2 linked regions of the Caenorhabditis elegans genome follow. The protein of the gene in region 1 purifies or fractionates together with the protein of each later gene. This does not show direct contact. Each region holds a gene or a part of one and is shown in the gene's direction. Other genes may lie near its edges.

Region 1 (8,440 bases):
TTGCACTAGGATGGATGGAAAGTCTATATATTGTCCTCGGTTTTATTATTCACGCAGGCTTCTTCTGAAATTCGCTTATATACTATTACCGCAATACTTTTTGTTTATCTTGAATGTTCAATTGAATCTAAAATTCTGAATTAATAATTGTTTCAGACTATCAATTTGAAAGAAGATAGTGTATCAAATTGCTGGAATTTTGAAGAATGAGCGGAAGGCCGGCGTTTGAGCAGTTTACTGCTCAACCACCGCAACCAGCCGGTGAAGTTGTTGCTCAGCAAGCTGGTGATGGAGCTCAAGGCCAAGAGCTGACAATTTCCAAACTGGAAAATGCGATAACTTCAATGGAGGAACAAGGTCTTCAGAATGACCATCGACACGCCAAAGCAGTTCTTTTGAAGCAAAAACTCCAATCTGGTCTCCCAGACGCCGTTCCAGGACAGGAAAATGGCGGGAATCAACAAATTACCCCAGCACAACTCAATCAACTGAGGGCTCAAGTGTCAGCCTATCGTCTTTTGGCTCGAAATGAACAAGTACCGGCCAACTTGATTGCGGATGCTGTCATGCTCCGACCAAAAGTTACAACTTTGTTGCCTGAACCTTATGAATATCCAGGAGAGGCAGAGAATGGAGAAAAGTTGCCGTATGATTTGATGAAGGTAGGTAAAATGGATCGAATGAAACTATACAGTCTACTTTTTTACAGATTTTCAATCTCCATCAAATACGCTGTAATCGTCCAACAACAATTTCTGTTCCATCAGGAATTGATCCTGTTGGCATGCTCAAGCAAAGAGAAAATATGATTCAAAACAGAATCGGGCTACGCATGAAGCTACTCAATAACTTACCCGCCGACATTCCAGATCACATGAAATTGAAAGCAGAAATCGAATTGCGTGCTTTACGTCTTGTCAATCTCCAAACTCAGGTAATTTCTGGATTCGAAGAGTATTTTAACCAATAAGCTGTTTTTAGGTGCGCAGTGAAGTGATGGCTTGTCTCAAAAGAGACACAACTCTCGAAACTGCACTCAATCCATATGCGTATCGACGCACAAAGCGGCAATCTTTACGCGAAGCTCGTGTTACCGAAAAGCTTGAGAAGCAACAAAAGATGGAGCAAGAAAGAAAGAGAAGGCAGAAGCATACTGATTTGATGCAAGCTATCATTCAGCATGGAAAGGAATTCAAGGAGTATCATAGGTGAGATTGTATTTAGAAAGTTCTCCTACTAATTAAATTATTTTCAGAAACAATCTTCTGAAAATGGCAAAGTCTCGCAAGGCAGTCATGACATATCATCAAAACAATGAACGTGAACGCAAGAAGGACGAGATTCGAAATGAAAAACTTCGTATGCAAAAACTGATGCAAGAAGATGAAGAAGGATATCGTGCTCTTCTTGATGAGAAGAAAGATCAACGTCTTGTGTATCTTCTTCAACAAACCGATGAGTACGTCGACTCTCTGTGCTCACTTGTTCGTCAACATCAAAATACCGAAAAGAAAAAGAAGAAGGAAGATAAGAAAATTGAAAAAGGAAATCAAATGGATGAGGAAGCCAGGGTTCACGTTCGGGAGAGAAGCACTGGAAAAGCGCTTACTGGAGATCAAGCTCCAAAGACTGAAGAAATTGAGTTTTGGCTTGAAACTCATCCAGAATATGAGATAGTTCCACGTGATCAGCTTAGTGATGACGAAGAAGAGGAAGAGGAAGAGGCTCCAGTGGAACCAGAAGAAGAGAAGGATGATCAGTACGCTGGAATGGATGAAGAGACAAAAGCTAAGATGATCCTCGAGAAGGCACGTAACGAAGAGGATGAATATGATCAGAAAACGAAAAAGCAAATGGCTGATTACTATGCAACTGCTCACAAAATCAAAGAAAAGGTTGTCAAGCAACACACAACGATGGGTGGTGGTGATCCGAATCTTCTGCTGAAACCGTATCAGATTAAGGGATTGGAATGGATGGTCTCCTTATACAACAACAATCTGAACGGTATCCTCGCCGACGAAATGGGTCTAGGAAAAACTATTCAGGTAGGAATTTGGGAAATGAGGAAATATTAATCAATTTTTAATTTTCAGACAATCTCGTTGGTGACGTATTTGATGGAAGTCAAACAAAACAATGGACCATATCTTGTCATCGTACCGCTCTCCACGTTGTCCAATTGGCAGAACGAATTTGCTAAATGGGCTCCATCTGTAACCACTATCATCTATAAAGGAACTAAAGATGCTCGTCGTCGTGTTGAAGGACAAATCAGAAAAGGAGCGTTCAACGTTTTGATGACAACATATGAATATGTGATCAAAGAGAAAGCACTGCTTGGTAAAATCCGTTGGAAGTATATGATAATCGACGAAGGACATCGTTTGAAGAATCACAATTGTAAATTGACATTGATGTTGAACGGATTCTTCCATGCTCAGCATCGTTTACTTCTTACTGGTACTCCACTTCAGAACAAACTTCCTGAGCTATGGGCTCTGCTGAACTTCTTACTTCCATCGATCTTCTCATCTTGTGGAACTTTCGAACAATGGTTCAATGCTCCATTTGCGACTACAGGAGAGAAAGTAGAACTGAATCAAGAAGAGACGATGCTCATCATCAGAAGACTGCACAAGGTTCTTCGTCCATTCTTGCTGAGACGTCTCAAAAAGGAAGTAGAATCACAGCTTCCTGACAAGACCGAGTATGTCATCAAGTGTGACCAGTCTGCTTTGCAAAAGGTTATTTATCGTCATATGCAGAAAGGATTGCTTCTCGACGCTAAAATGTCATCTGGAGCACGTTCGTTGATGAACACTGTCGTGCATCTTCGCAAGCTTTGCAATCACCCGTTCCTTTTCCCTAATATTGAAGATTCCTGCCGTGCATACTGGAAGGTCAACGAAGTCAATGGAACCGATCTAATGCGTGTTGCTGGAAAGTTGGAACTTCTCGATCGTATTCTACCGAAACTAAAGGCAACAGGTCATCGAATTCTGATGTTCTTCCAGATGACGTCTATGATGAACATTTTCGAAGACTTTTTGAATTTCCGAAGATACACGTACCTCCGTTTAGACGGTTCAACTAAACCAGACGAGCGTGGAGATCTGCTGACACAGTTTAATGCTCCTAACAGTGATTTGTTCCTTTTCATGCTTTCTACAAGAGCTGGAGGTCTTGGACTCAATTTGCAAACTGCTGATACTGTTATTATCTTTGATTCGGATTGGAATCCTCATCAGGATATGCAGGCTCAAGATCGTGCACATCGTATCGGACAAAAGAAAGAAGTTCGAGTTCTTCGTCTCATCACAGCTAACTCTGTTGAAGAGAAAATTCTTGCCGCTGCTCGCTACAAGTTGAATGTCGACGAGAAAGTTATTCAAGCAGGAAAGTTCGATCAACGTTCAACTGGAGCTGAAAGAAAGCAAATGCTCGAACAAATTATTCAAGCAGACGGAGAAGAGGAAGAAGAAGAGGAAGTTCCAGATGATGAAACTGTGAATCAGATGGTTGCTCGCTCAGAGGAAGAATTTAATATCTTCCAATCGATGGATATTGATCGTCGTCGTGAAGAAGCTAATCAACTTCACCGTAAACCCCGTCTTCTAGAAGAACATGAAATTCCAGACGATATTCTCAAATTGTCATTCGATTATGAGGAAATGGAACGAGCCAGAGAGGAAGGTCGTGAAGTTGTTGATCAAACTCCTAATCAGAGAAGACGCAGAAGAGAGGTAAGGAATATATAAGAGAATTTACAATATTAATTCATTTTCAGGTCGACTACTCTTCCGATCTTTTGTCCGATGAACAGTTCATGAAACAAGTTGAGGAAGTTGAGGATGAAAATAATCAAGCTGTGGCTGAACGTAAAAAGCAAAGAAAACGTAAAATGGCTGGATTGGACGAGAATGATGATTCTATGGATGACGTTGTTCTACAACACAAGAAGAAGAAGACGGATCCAGAATTGGCAGAAAAAATCAATGAAATGCTTGATGTTATTCTAGAATATAAAAATGAGGATGGAGAACTCATCGCGGATGTATTCCAGACACTTCCAACTCGTAAAGAACTGCCGGACTATTATCAAGTGATTTCCAAACCAATGGATTTCGATCGAATCAACAAAAAGATCGAAACAGGACGTTATACGGTTATGGAAGAATTGAATGATGATATGAATTTGCTTGTGAACAATGCTCAAACATACAACGAAGAAGGCAGTGAGATTTATGTTAGCTCTGAAACAATCGGAAAATTGTGGAAGGAACAATACGATAAGGTATGATTGATTTTTGAAATTTCGAAGTTTACATTACTTTTTCAGTTTATGAATCCACCGAAGCCAGTAGAAGAACCAGTCAAGAAGAAAGAACCTTCAACCCCATCAACTTCATCTTCTCGTCCCTCAACCAGTGGCACTCCAAGTGTGTCAGATCTTCAGCGGACACAACAGGCAACTGCTCAGCAAATGTTAATGCTTATGACACATATGCAATCACTTCCACCCGCACAGGCTCAGCAGTTTCAACAGGCATTGATGACACAGACCGGTGGAAATCAAGCCCTAATGCTTCAATATATGCAGTCGGCTATGCTAGCTCAACGTGCACAAGCTTCAACTAAAGTAACCCCCAAAAAGGACGAGAAAAAAGAAACTTCGTCTTCTGTAAAGACCGAGGAAGCTAAGAAAGATGATGAACCATCAACATCGTCTGCAAGTGCACCACCACCGAAAAAGAAGAAGGAATCGGAAGATAGTGAAGACCCAATGGAAGAAGATGAAGAAGAGGAGATCATTGGACAAAAGAAGGTTACTTGAACTTTTTTAATGTCTTTAAGTCTAATATTTAATTTCCAGGAACCAGCATCAAGCCGTCGAAAGTCTCGTCCAACTCGCCGCTTCTCGAACGAGGATGAGGAAGAAGAAGACGACGAGTGATCAAAACTAGTCTGCTCCAAATATTTTCATGTCCCCATAAACATTTATTCTCTGTTTGTGTATTCTTCATGTTCTATGATTTCTGATTTTTTGAGCTGTCACCATAAATATGTCCCACCTCGTTCCCCCATTCTTATCTCTCCTGCTTCACAGTTATCTCTCATCGCTTTTTTACTGTTTATCTCTACTTCTCTTTTCTGTCGCAAGCTACACGTTTGCAGGAAAAAATCCCTGAAACAAAAGCATTAAGCATTGTATTTAACCCATATTCCACTTTTAATCCATACTATTCGTCAACTATTTTAAAGAAAAATTTAATTTTATAAACATTTCGAGAGAAATATGCTTTTGTTATCAAGAATTATTTTCGAATTTCGTTGCGATTTCTTTTATTAAATACTTTCCGTCTTAGTTCGAGATTTTGAATGTTTAATCAAACACACTTATGATTTAGGTAAACGGGAACAAATGTCGGCACTCAGAAGCACTAAGGTGAGTTTAAGAGCTTGAAAAGGTTGAATACTTGCTCCAAAATTGAAAGTGTTATCTGAAAACCCTACGTTCTATCTTCTCAGGGTCTCGTTGCTCTCGTCACTGGCGGAGCGTCTGGACTGGGAAAGGGTGCTGCCGAAGTTTTGGCAAAGGCTGGTGCACAGGTCGCTATTCTTGATCTTCCACAGTCAAAAGGAGCCGATGTTGCGAAGGAGATCGGAGGAATCTTTACACCAGCTTCGGTAACAATGATTTCATGCTACATTTGTAAAGAGAAACTTCAAGTAAAATATTACCCAGACGCCAATTTTGCGATCTCTGTCTCGACACGCCCTTTTTTGTAAAATAGAAACGAGTGTGTGCCTTTAAAGAGTACTGTTATTTCAAAATTTCGTTAGTACTGAATTTTCATGAAATTCTCATCGTTTTTTAAATTAAGAATTAAAAATTGAAAGCACATCAATTTTATTCAACAAATCATGATAAAAAACTACGAAAAGTCGATAAAAATTCCACAGCATTTTCAATTTTAAGAGTACTGTAAAATTACAGTACTTTTTAAAGGCGCACATACATTAGTATTTTACAAAGTTTTACGCTTCAAATATTACGATAACACAAAATTCTGAGAATGCGTATTTTGCAACATATTTGACGCGCAAAATATCTTGTAGCGAAAACTACAGTAATTGTTTAAATGACTACTGTAGCTCTTGTGCCGATTTACGGGATCGATTTTCGAAATGAATTTATTCTCGAATAGTGACAGTGATATTAGATTTTCCTTCATTTTTTCTTAAATTAAATAATTAAATTGATTTTAACTAATTTGGAAAAAAACCAACCCTGAAATTGATACAAGAGCTACAGTAGTCATTTAAAGAACTACTGTAGTTTTCGCTACAAGATATTTTGCGCGTCAAATATGTGGTTCTATACGCATTCTCCGAATTTAGTGCTCCCGTAATAACATAATTTATTATTGTATTTTCTCATTAAAAAACAAACGTTTCATAAATTTCAGGTAACATCCGAAGAAGAAGTGAGAGCAGCTTTTGCCAAAGTTCAAGCTGAATATGGTCGCCTCGATGCTCTTGTGAATTGTGCCGGAATTGCGTATGCTTTCAAGCTCTACTCTGTTCAAAAGAAGAAACACGTTGATTTTGAGAAGATCCGTCAGACCATTGATGTCAGTTACTGTCATTTCAACCACCAAAATAACTTAAAACAATTTAGGTTAATGTTTTGGGAACATTCAATGTTATCCGACACGGAGTTGCTTTAATGGGAGAACACGAGAAAGATGCCAATGGACAACGAGGAGTTGTAATTAATACCGCTTCGGTTGCAGCTTTTGATGGACAAACTGGACAGGTAAATATAAATATTTCGAGGCACAAAATTTTGAGGTTTTTGTATTATATGAAAGTTACAGTACCCGGTCTCGACACGACAATTTTGTTAAATACAAACGGCTATGCGCCTTTAAAGAATTCAAACTTTTGTCGTTGAAGAATTTTTATCATGTCTTCATTTTTTTGTTAAAAATATATTTGTTACTGTAAAAACTAAAATAAAACTAAAATAACAAATTGTGAGTGAAACTATAAAAATCGATGAAAGCTCTGCAGCAAAGAAAGTTTGAAATTAAAATACCGTTTGTGTTTTACAAAAAAAAGTGGCGAGACCGGGTACCGTATTTTTTGGCGAAAAATTTCTAATTTATGACTTTTATTCGAATTAAAATTCTAAAATTTTGCCAACATTTTTCAAAATCAGCATATCATCAATTCGCAAAAACTTGAAACTAGATGCTAAGCATTTTATTGTGAATCCTGGATTCTTCTGTACAGTTCTGAATTTAAAATTTCATAAACTTAATTTTCTGCACCAAATGAACAAAACTGTGAACCTTGGCACATATAACACATGTAACAGGCCAAATTTTTGAAAATATACAATGCCAATTTAACAAATTTAAATAAGTTAAAAAATTTTTGCAGTCTGCCTATTCTGCTTCTAAGGGCGCTATTGTTGGTATGACTCTTCCATTGGCTCGTGATTTTGCTGGCGATGGTATCCGATTCAACACTATTGCTCCAGGACTTATGGATACTCCACTTCTCTCTTCACTTCCAGAAAAGGTGAGGGCTGAAAAGGACGTTCCTATTCATTAAACAAGTTTAATTTTCAGGTTAAATCCTTCCTGGCCCAACTCATCCCAAATCCATCGAGACTTGGACACCCACACGAGTACGGAGCTCTTGTGCAGCACATCATTGAAAATCAGTATTTGAACGGAGAAACTATTCGATTTGACGGAGCACTCCGCATGCCGGCTTAATTTAATATCTCTTCATTCCGATTGTTTTTTAAGTACAGAGTTTTAGATCATTTTTTTGTTTGTTTTTCAAGATTTCGAAATTTGATAATTTTGCGCATATTTCTAATGAAACAGTGATTTTAATATATCATGAAATTTTGAAACAGTAAAAACAAAGCAACTTAGAAACCGAGCTCAACAGAAATCAGAAGGTAACATTAGTTTATAACAACTTAAACAACAAATGGTCGGCAAATACTGTTGTACTAAATACTTGATCTTTTACTTCGTATCTATTTTGCTATACAGTAGACATTCTTACTACCACGGCAGGGATTATATCATTTACTACTGATATTTTACTACGAATTAAAAATTAATTTCTATATTTAGTATATTCTAGATATGAAAAAATGTATGAATATTAAAAAAAAACATAGGTCCCAATTGTAGTTTGTTCTCTAGTAGTTCTTGTAAATTTCAGTTGTTTTCTTTTGATACTGAGTTGGAGATTTGTAGAGTAAATTGAATTACACTTCCACACAATACAGTTCACATATAGAAATGGCGGCCGCGAAACTCAAAAGAAGGAACAGACAATGCCCCCTACAAAAGTTACCGTAACCTGAGATTTTATTCTCGCGCTTATGAATTCCTCTTATGACAAT
Region 2 (6,784 bases), on another chromosome or scaffold:
GGATACTTTTGGACTTGGAACTACCGAGAAGGTGTTCATTATCCGGTCAGGATATTCCTCGCGAATTTTTGAAATGAGAAGGGTTCCCATTCCAGATCCAGTACCTCCTCCAAGTGAGTGAGTAAGTTGAAATCCTTGAAGGCAATCTGTGCTTTCTGCTTCTTTTCTGACAACGTCAAGAACATTGTCTACAAGTTCTGCTCCCTCGGTGTAGTGTCCTTTGGCCCAATTGTTTCCAGCACCGCTTTGACCAAATACGTAATTGTCTGGACGGAAAAGTTGTCCGAATGGTCCAGAACGGACAGAATCCATGGTTCCTGGCTCCAAGTCAACAAGGACAGCTCTGAAAAACATACAGTTAGGTAAACGGTGGACAAAATCGGTATATGTCAAAAATCATGGAAAACGTCTAGATCAAAAAATAATTTCATGAAAAATTATGACAAAACAAACTATATCTATACCTTGGAACATATTTGTTGCTTCCGGCCTCATTATAGTAGACGTTGATTCTTTCGAGTTGAAGATCAGAGTCTCCCACATACTGGCCAGATGGGTCAATGCCGTGTTCATCGGATATTACCTCCCAGAACTGAAATTGCTTGGCATAAAGCACAACTAGGAACATTATAACTGAAAATACTAACCTTCGAACCGATTTGATTACCGCATTGTCCGGCTTGAATATGAACGATCTCGCGCATGTTGCTTGAAATTTGGACCCGACGTTTCTTCCTCTACACCTACAACTTCTTAGCAGGCGATCACTGGCGGAACGGCTGCCTTGAGGCTCGACTGACAACGGACCAAGACAAAAGATGCGACTCAAGACGAATAATGGGAGGAGTCACATCTCGGTGCCCCATCACTTATTCATGAGCTCTGCACCACGCACAGCCACCATCATATCTGTTGTAGTGTGTGCGACCATCGCTGCGCATCATCAACAAATGCATGGCATTCGAATAATGAGTGGTCCGAGAGAAACGAAAGAAGAAGGAAAGAGACGAGATCAAGATCCAACACAAAAAGCCATTTTTGAATTGTGCCATGAATTTGTGAAGAGACAACTGGTGGGGCGAGGGGGTTAGGAGTCATCACAATGAGTGCACTTAATGCATTGTGGATGATAGTTTCTGCATTTTTCGCGCTGTGTTTCAAAAATGCTACACACAAAACGTTTCATCTTGAAACACCCGAACAATACTATAGAGAGATTAAACGGTAAAAAAGGTGATGAGGATATAGCAAACTGACACAAAATACAAAAAATTGATAAGATAGAAGGGAAAAACGATGAGGTGGGAAAGTGCGGGGTGTTGAAAGCTCTTAAATTTAAGAGTTTTCATTTTGAATGGAGATTTTGAGGTTATCATATCACAATTGAAAGTCAGAAATCGAAGGAAATGGCAATTATCAGAGCATGTGGTGAGTACCAGCGTTTTGCAGCTTTTTCTGTTGGAGCCGACGTTCGTGCTCTTGTTGTAGCTGTTTATGGTGCTCTTCGCGGTGCTGAAATACACAGAAATGACAGGTTTACATTTCTAGATTACTACATAATTTTTGTTTTTTTTTTCTAATCAGCGAGCTGTCTTGAGTATCAATTTCTTTGCTTAAAATTTCATACATCATTGGCTAAACGACGAACGGAATTTTTTTTGATAATAGGTAATATTTTTTCAAAACTATTTTCTAAAGTACATACCTCTTTCAAGGTGCTATCCAAATCGTCATCACCCCATCCGAGAAGATCATCATCGATATCTCCAAGTGTCGGCGTAGCTCCCTGAAAAAAAAATGGATTGCAATCAGGTTTTCTTGTCTTTTTCCTGCATCACCACAGCGACACCTTTTGTCATTAGAATTTTTGTCTCCTCTTCCATCGCCCAGAAATCTTGTGAACGCGCGAGAAAAAAAAAGAGTCAAGCGCGTCCCCGGCATCTCTTTCCCGCAATTTGCGCCGCCGTCCCGACCGATTGGCGGCTATTCATAAAAAGTTGACGAACAACTAGATAGAGAAGTAGAAACAGACACAAGACAAGAAGAAGAAGGAGAAGCTGTTGAAGCTAGCTGAAGAATCCATTCTCAACAGGACTCTCCGTGGAAAAAATTAGGGGAGGAGAACAATCGAATACCGACTACACTGATTAGCAGAACGAGTATATTGTTCTTCTTTCGTTATTCTGTTTACTCGTTTCCTCGCACACTGTGAAAGCAAAATCATAAGATCGTCATATTATCATTGTCATGATGAAGCTTGTAAAAGTTATGTTCAAAAACGGTCCATCGTGAATTAATTTTGATTTTATAATATTCAATGTTTTACGTTTAGGTTGACCATATATATATATTGTAAATCGAATTGGTGATTTCTTCCTAGCAATGTTTTTTTGTATATCTCCTCTCTTCAAAAGCCCACAGTAAATCAAATTGTACCGTTTATGATTGTTCACATATCAGCACTAATCCGTTCATGAAAAAATGCTTTTGAAACCTGAAACAGATTGTTCAATCTGTTTCAGGTTTTAATTTAAAGTTAGCAGAAGGATAACTGTTAAAAGTCAAGTAGTAGGGTGCAATACGGTTAGAAGAAATAATAATGAGAGCAGTTGGTTGCATTAGAAAAAACAAAAATTAACTTCATTCCAAACATTTGCAGCGTCATGAACAATTGTTTCGTTTCTTTATCGAATAAAAAACTAAATAACTTGTTTTCTCAATTAGAATGTAATCCTCAATTTGGTATTTTTTTGAAATTTACTATACTGTTTGGAACGCAATTTGCGCTTAACTTTAATTGAAAGCCATGTATCAAAAGCTCAACGTCGTGAAATGTATGTTCATCAAATTATCTTATCTGAATTTTTCATGACATATTACAATACAAATTTTCTTAGAACATCTATAGTACAACCGTGTAAAATGGTCATACATGTTGCGTACCTAACGTAATTTCATGACGTTCTCCACCCCCAGCTGAATGCCAGATAAAAAATACCGCTTTTTTGGTGGCTTGTTAGTTCCTCGTTAAACGAAAAATACTATACGATAAGATACTTGCCATTCGATTTCACATTTTTGAATCTGTATTCACTTTCTATCCTTATCTTTTGCTGCGCATGTTTACGTTTACGAAACGGGCGGCCATGAAAGGTTAAATTCAGATATGATGAGGGGCGGGCACAACTCGCGGCCATCGGAAACAGGTTCTAAGGTTCACAGAGAAGCCCTTCACTTCTTCATAATCCGCCATTCACTTCATATTTTTCTGCGCGTGAAATCTGCTCGGATGCCATTACACTAAAATTTTATTAAACTATATTAACACAATCAGGCTCACTGGACAAAAAAGTATTTGTCCCAAGATGCAATTAAAGATCCAGTTTTCCTTGACCTCGACCTTAGCCAAACTAAACAGTAGCTAACGCGCGTTAGTAGTATAATCAGTTCTATATCACTGAAGCTGGAAACTAGTCTTATCGCTTGATGTTTGAAGAATGCCCGTCCGGCCAGACACCCAAACCGGGATAACAATCACTTTTCCCCTATCATTCACGCCTTTATTTCACAAATTCACGAATTCACCTTTTGTGAAAGATTGCAAGATTTGAATCTCACGAATCTCCACCCCCCCCCCCCCTTTTTCCAACTTCATTTCATTTACAAACCCGTCCCATTCTGCCATTCTGTTTGCATTTTTTTCTTCTTTCAATTGCCATCGGATTCAAGATAACCACATATTTCAAAAGCTTTTTTCAGAACCATGCTGAAATTGGTAATAGCGTGTCTTCTTCCTACTGTTGTCTATTCGGCAGTTCAATGTTATGTTGGCCAGAAATTATTCTCATACGAGTCCACAAATGTAAGTCAGAATTTTCATACTTCTAAGAATTTTCTAATTATCAAACTCTTCTAAAAGCCAGCAATTTAGGCGATCTGTGCCAAATTCATCCCATATACGTGTGCGGTGCAATGCGAATGGCGCAAGCAATGTAATGAACATACGTCGTTCTCCACTTTCCGCGGACGTCGCACTTTCGTTTCTGGCCTTCTCCTCAACTCGAAATCCTTGATGGTTTTGTGTTGCGCTTCATTGGCTACTAGAGTGGAGACAGGTGAGGATAATGTAACAAGTGACTAAGACTCACATCGGCGAGAAACTCAAAAACTAGCTGCCATCGCAAGATTAACACGACCAAAATGTTGCGTTTTGCAGACAGCAGCGGTCGTGAAAAGTGTATCTGGAGAGACACCGAATCCATTTCCGTCCTTGGTCCATCCATCAGAACCAATCCGGTGTTGGCACCAAACCACTACATTCGGTAAGCATTCTCTAGTTAACTAGCATTTTCTATAACAATCACTTTTTAGTGACGTTAAAATGGAACGCGACGGAAGCTCCCGTGTTGATGTAACAATTGAAGTTTGCCAATATCAATCAGAAAGGGATCATTGCAAAATTGATGTAATTCATTAATATAGTTAACTGTTCTTACTATTCCATGTTACAGGAGATGAGTGAATTCGAAAAGAAGAGATTCAATGTAATCAAGGGAAAGCTTGATAAGGCTGCTAATGAGAACGGCGTCACAACGACAGAAGCACCGACGGAAGTGAAAAATGAAGACGATTTTCTCAACAAGAAGCTCCTCAATTAACTAGTTATCTCATCTACAGCGTACCTCTTATTTATGTATAAACATTGTTTGTTTTGACATCCTAATAAATATATAAACCAACCCAAACTCACCACATTTGCTTCGTTAAAGTCAAATCTGCTTTTCTTGGGAGCCGTATCACGGAACCCGCCTCGTGGGGCCAAGACAACCTGGAAAGAAATTAATTTTCCCAGTTTGGAAAAAGTATTTTTAATATCAGAATGCATTGTAAAAACAATTATTTTGCGTTGCAATTTTCACAGTACAAATACTTCTTCAGTTCAGTTGGTTTGTATTTTCAGAGACTAATTTGCAAGGGAAAAAATTGAATGCTACATGTTTTCCTCTTGCTGGGATTATGATTCAAACTACCAAACGAAAACATTTAAAATGCGGAATTTATAAAAAAGAGAACTAGACAAGTTCTAATTAAACGTGGTTTGCAAAATTACTAGAAATCTTCTGCCTTGAATTTTTTGTTTTTAGTTTCTGTCTAGATGAAGTTTTAAACAAAGTTGATAATTATCAAATGTTCCAAAAAAAGTGTAAAATATACTATTTAAACTATAACGTTTAACGAGTTCTGAAAAACAATTGCTACAATACAATTTGGTAGACTTTATTGAGAAGTGACAAGAGCGAAGCAACAAATGGCAAAATTTTGATTTAATATTGAAAATATTACAAACTAGTTAGCATGCTGTTTCACATTCAATTTTAGTATTCGTGTGGAATTTATTATTCTCACATTTTTAATTTTATTGAATTGATTTTTCATCAATATAATTGAGACTAACGTTTTTTTTCTTTAAAATACATACTTTTCTGGCGCTGGTAATAGTTGGCTCTAGTGTGCTAAACAAGTCGTCATCTGGTTTGGTGTGGGTGTCCGGTTTCTGAAATTAAATAAAACACGGTATAGATTGTATGTATTGTGCCTGCTTTTGAATTCACCTGAGCATTACTGTTTCTCCATTGCTCAATTTTGTCGTTCACTTCTTCCTTTTTATCCCAGTCATCGTCTCCCCACGAATCGGTGACTTCATTTTGAAGCAGTGATGCTCGTTCTTCACCTTTCCTTTCTGTACGACCGTTGTCGACGACCACTGAAAAACTTTATAAAAGTGGTGCTTTTCTTTTAGCCTGACCTTTTAGGCTGCGGTTTGATTTTAAAATGAAAAATATATATTCTACTTGTTTCTACTATGCAAAACAGAGAAAAAAAAGAAAAAATAAAACAATAACTTTGCTCAACCCGGAAAAAAACCCAGTTTATTTCAATCGCTCCATATACTTTTCACACAAATTGAACATCCTTACTATACTTGGTGTATACAATTATTTAAAAAAAACAGGAGTTTAAGGGGGTCTCCTATTGAATTTTGTTCTGACACCCAGGCAGCAATGTTTTCTTCGTATGCTGGTAAAGCTTTACCTCTTGAACTGTAGCGCCAAAAATATTGACAACGCTTAAAATCACATTCAATAACGGCTTTTTGATTTAAAATCTTAATAGCAAAAAAAAAGAAAAGCATATGTGAAAAATTGCAATTCTTTTTGTGGCTGGTCTTGATGTCAAGACTTCAAGTAACAAACGGTATCGGAAGACAGCAACCCATAAAAGAAAATTCAATTTTAAGAGCTCTTTGTATTTATCTTCTTTTATTCCTGCACCACATTAGAAGCTTTGCCACTTTTGGCAACATTTTCAACGTTAACACTTCAGTTTTTATTTTCAAAATTTTTAATGAAAAGCTTACCCTCAAACGGCAAGTCATCCACATCCATGCGCTTTTTGTTGCGATTCCCATTGCACAAATTCCGAATAAAAGCAATAATCAATTGAAGGAGACGCATCGTCGACACGTATACTGCCCGAACAATTGACATCTAAACTCGCATAGATTGTATCTATTCCATGGAAAATGGAAGAGGAGAAGAAGCGCAAGTGGAAACGACAAATATTGTGGAAAACCGTGAGAGTCCACAAGAACTCTCAGTGCCCAATAGCAGAAACGGTGAAAAAACGCCAGTGATACAATGGCAAGAAAGAAGAGACGCAGACAATGGTCGTCAAATGGGGCACATTGACCGCAAATACTCTCACAGTGTACTAGTAACACCAA

The links.
Region 2: the proteins of ard-1 (region 1) and ZK154.1 fractionate together in Caenorhabditis elegans (co-fractionation; one large-scale study listed by BioGRID). This does not show direct contact.

The regions. Positions count from the first base shown.
Region 1 is NC_003282.8:11,125,868-11,134,307, forward strand, and holds ard-1 (3-hydroxyacyl-CoA dehydrogenase type-2), read left to right. Parts: upstream 1-5,411; 5' UTR 5,412-5,425; coding exon 5,426-5,449; intron 5,450-5,532; coding exon 5,533-5,691; intron 5,692-6,473; coding exon 6,474-6,638; intron 6,639-6,685; coding exon 6,686-6,823; intron 6,824-7,452; coding exon 7,453-7,593; intron 7,594-7,643; coding exon 7,644-7,793; 3' UTR 7,794-7,916; downstream 7,917-8,440. Other genes in the region: SWI/SNF chromatin remodeling complex core catalytic subunit swsn-4, read left to right, coding at 207-662, 710-934, 982-1,208, 1,256-2,048, 2,097-3,746, 3,791-4,297, 4,343-4,828, 4,877-4,957.
Region 2 is NC_003284.9:7,775,863-7,782,646, forward strand, and holds ZK154.1 (Apple domain-containing protein), read left to right. Parts: upstream 1-3,714; 5' UTR 3,715-3,763; coding exon 3,764-3,862; intron 3,863-3,931; coding exon 3,932-4,115; intron 4,116-4,216; coding exon 4,217-4,322; intron 4,323-4,371; coding exon 4,372-4,465; intron 4,466-4,511; coding exon 4,512-4,658; 3' UTR 4,659-4,745; downstream 4,746-6,784. Other genes in the region: mec-7 (Tubulin beta-1 chain), read right to left, coding at 1-343, 465-592, 648-704; ZK154.4 (uncharacterized protein), read right to left, coding at 1,417-1,512, 1,706-1,786, 4,751-4,828, 5,480-5,554, 5,613-5,764, 6,419-6,548.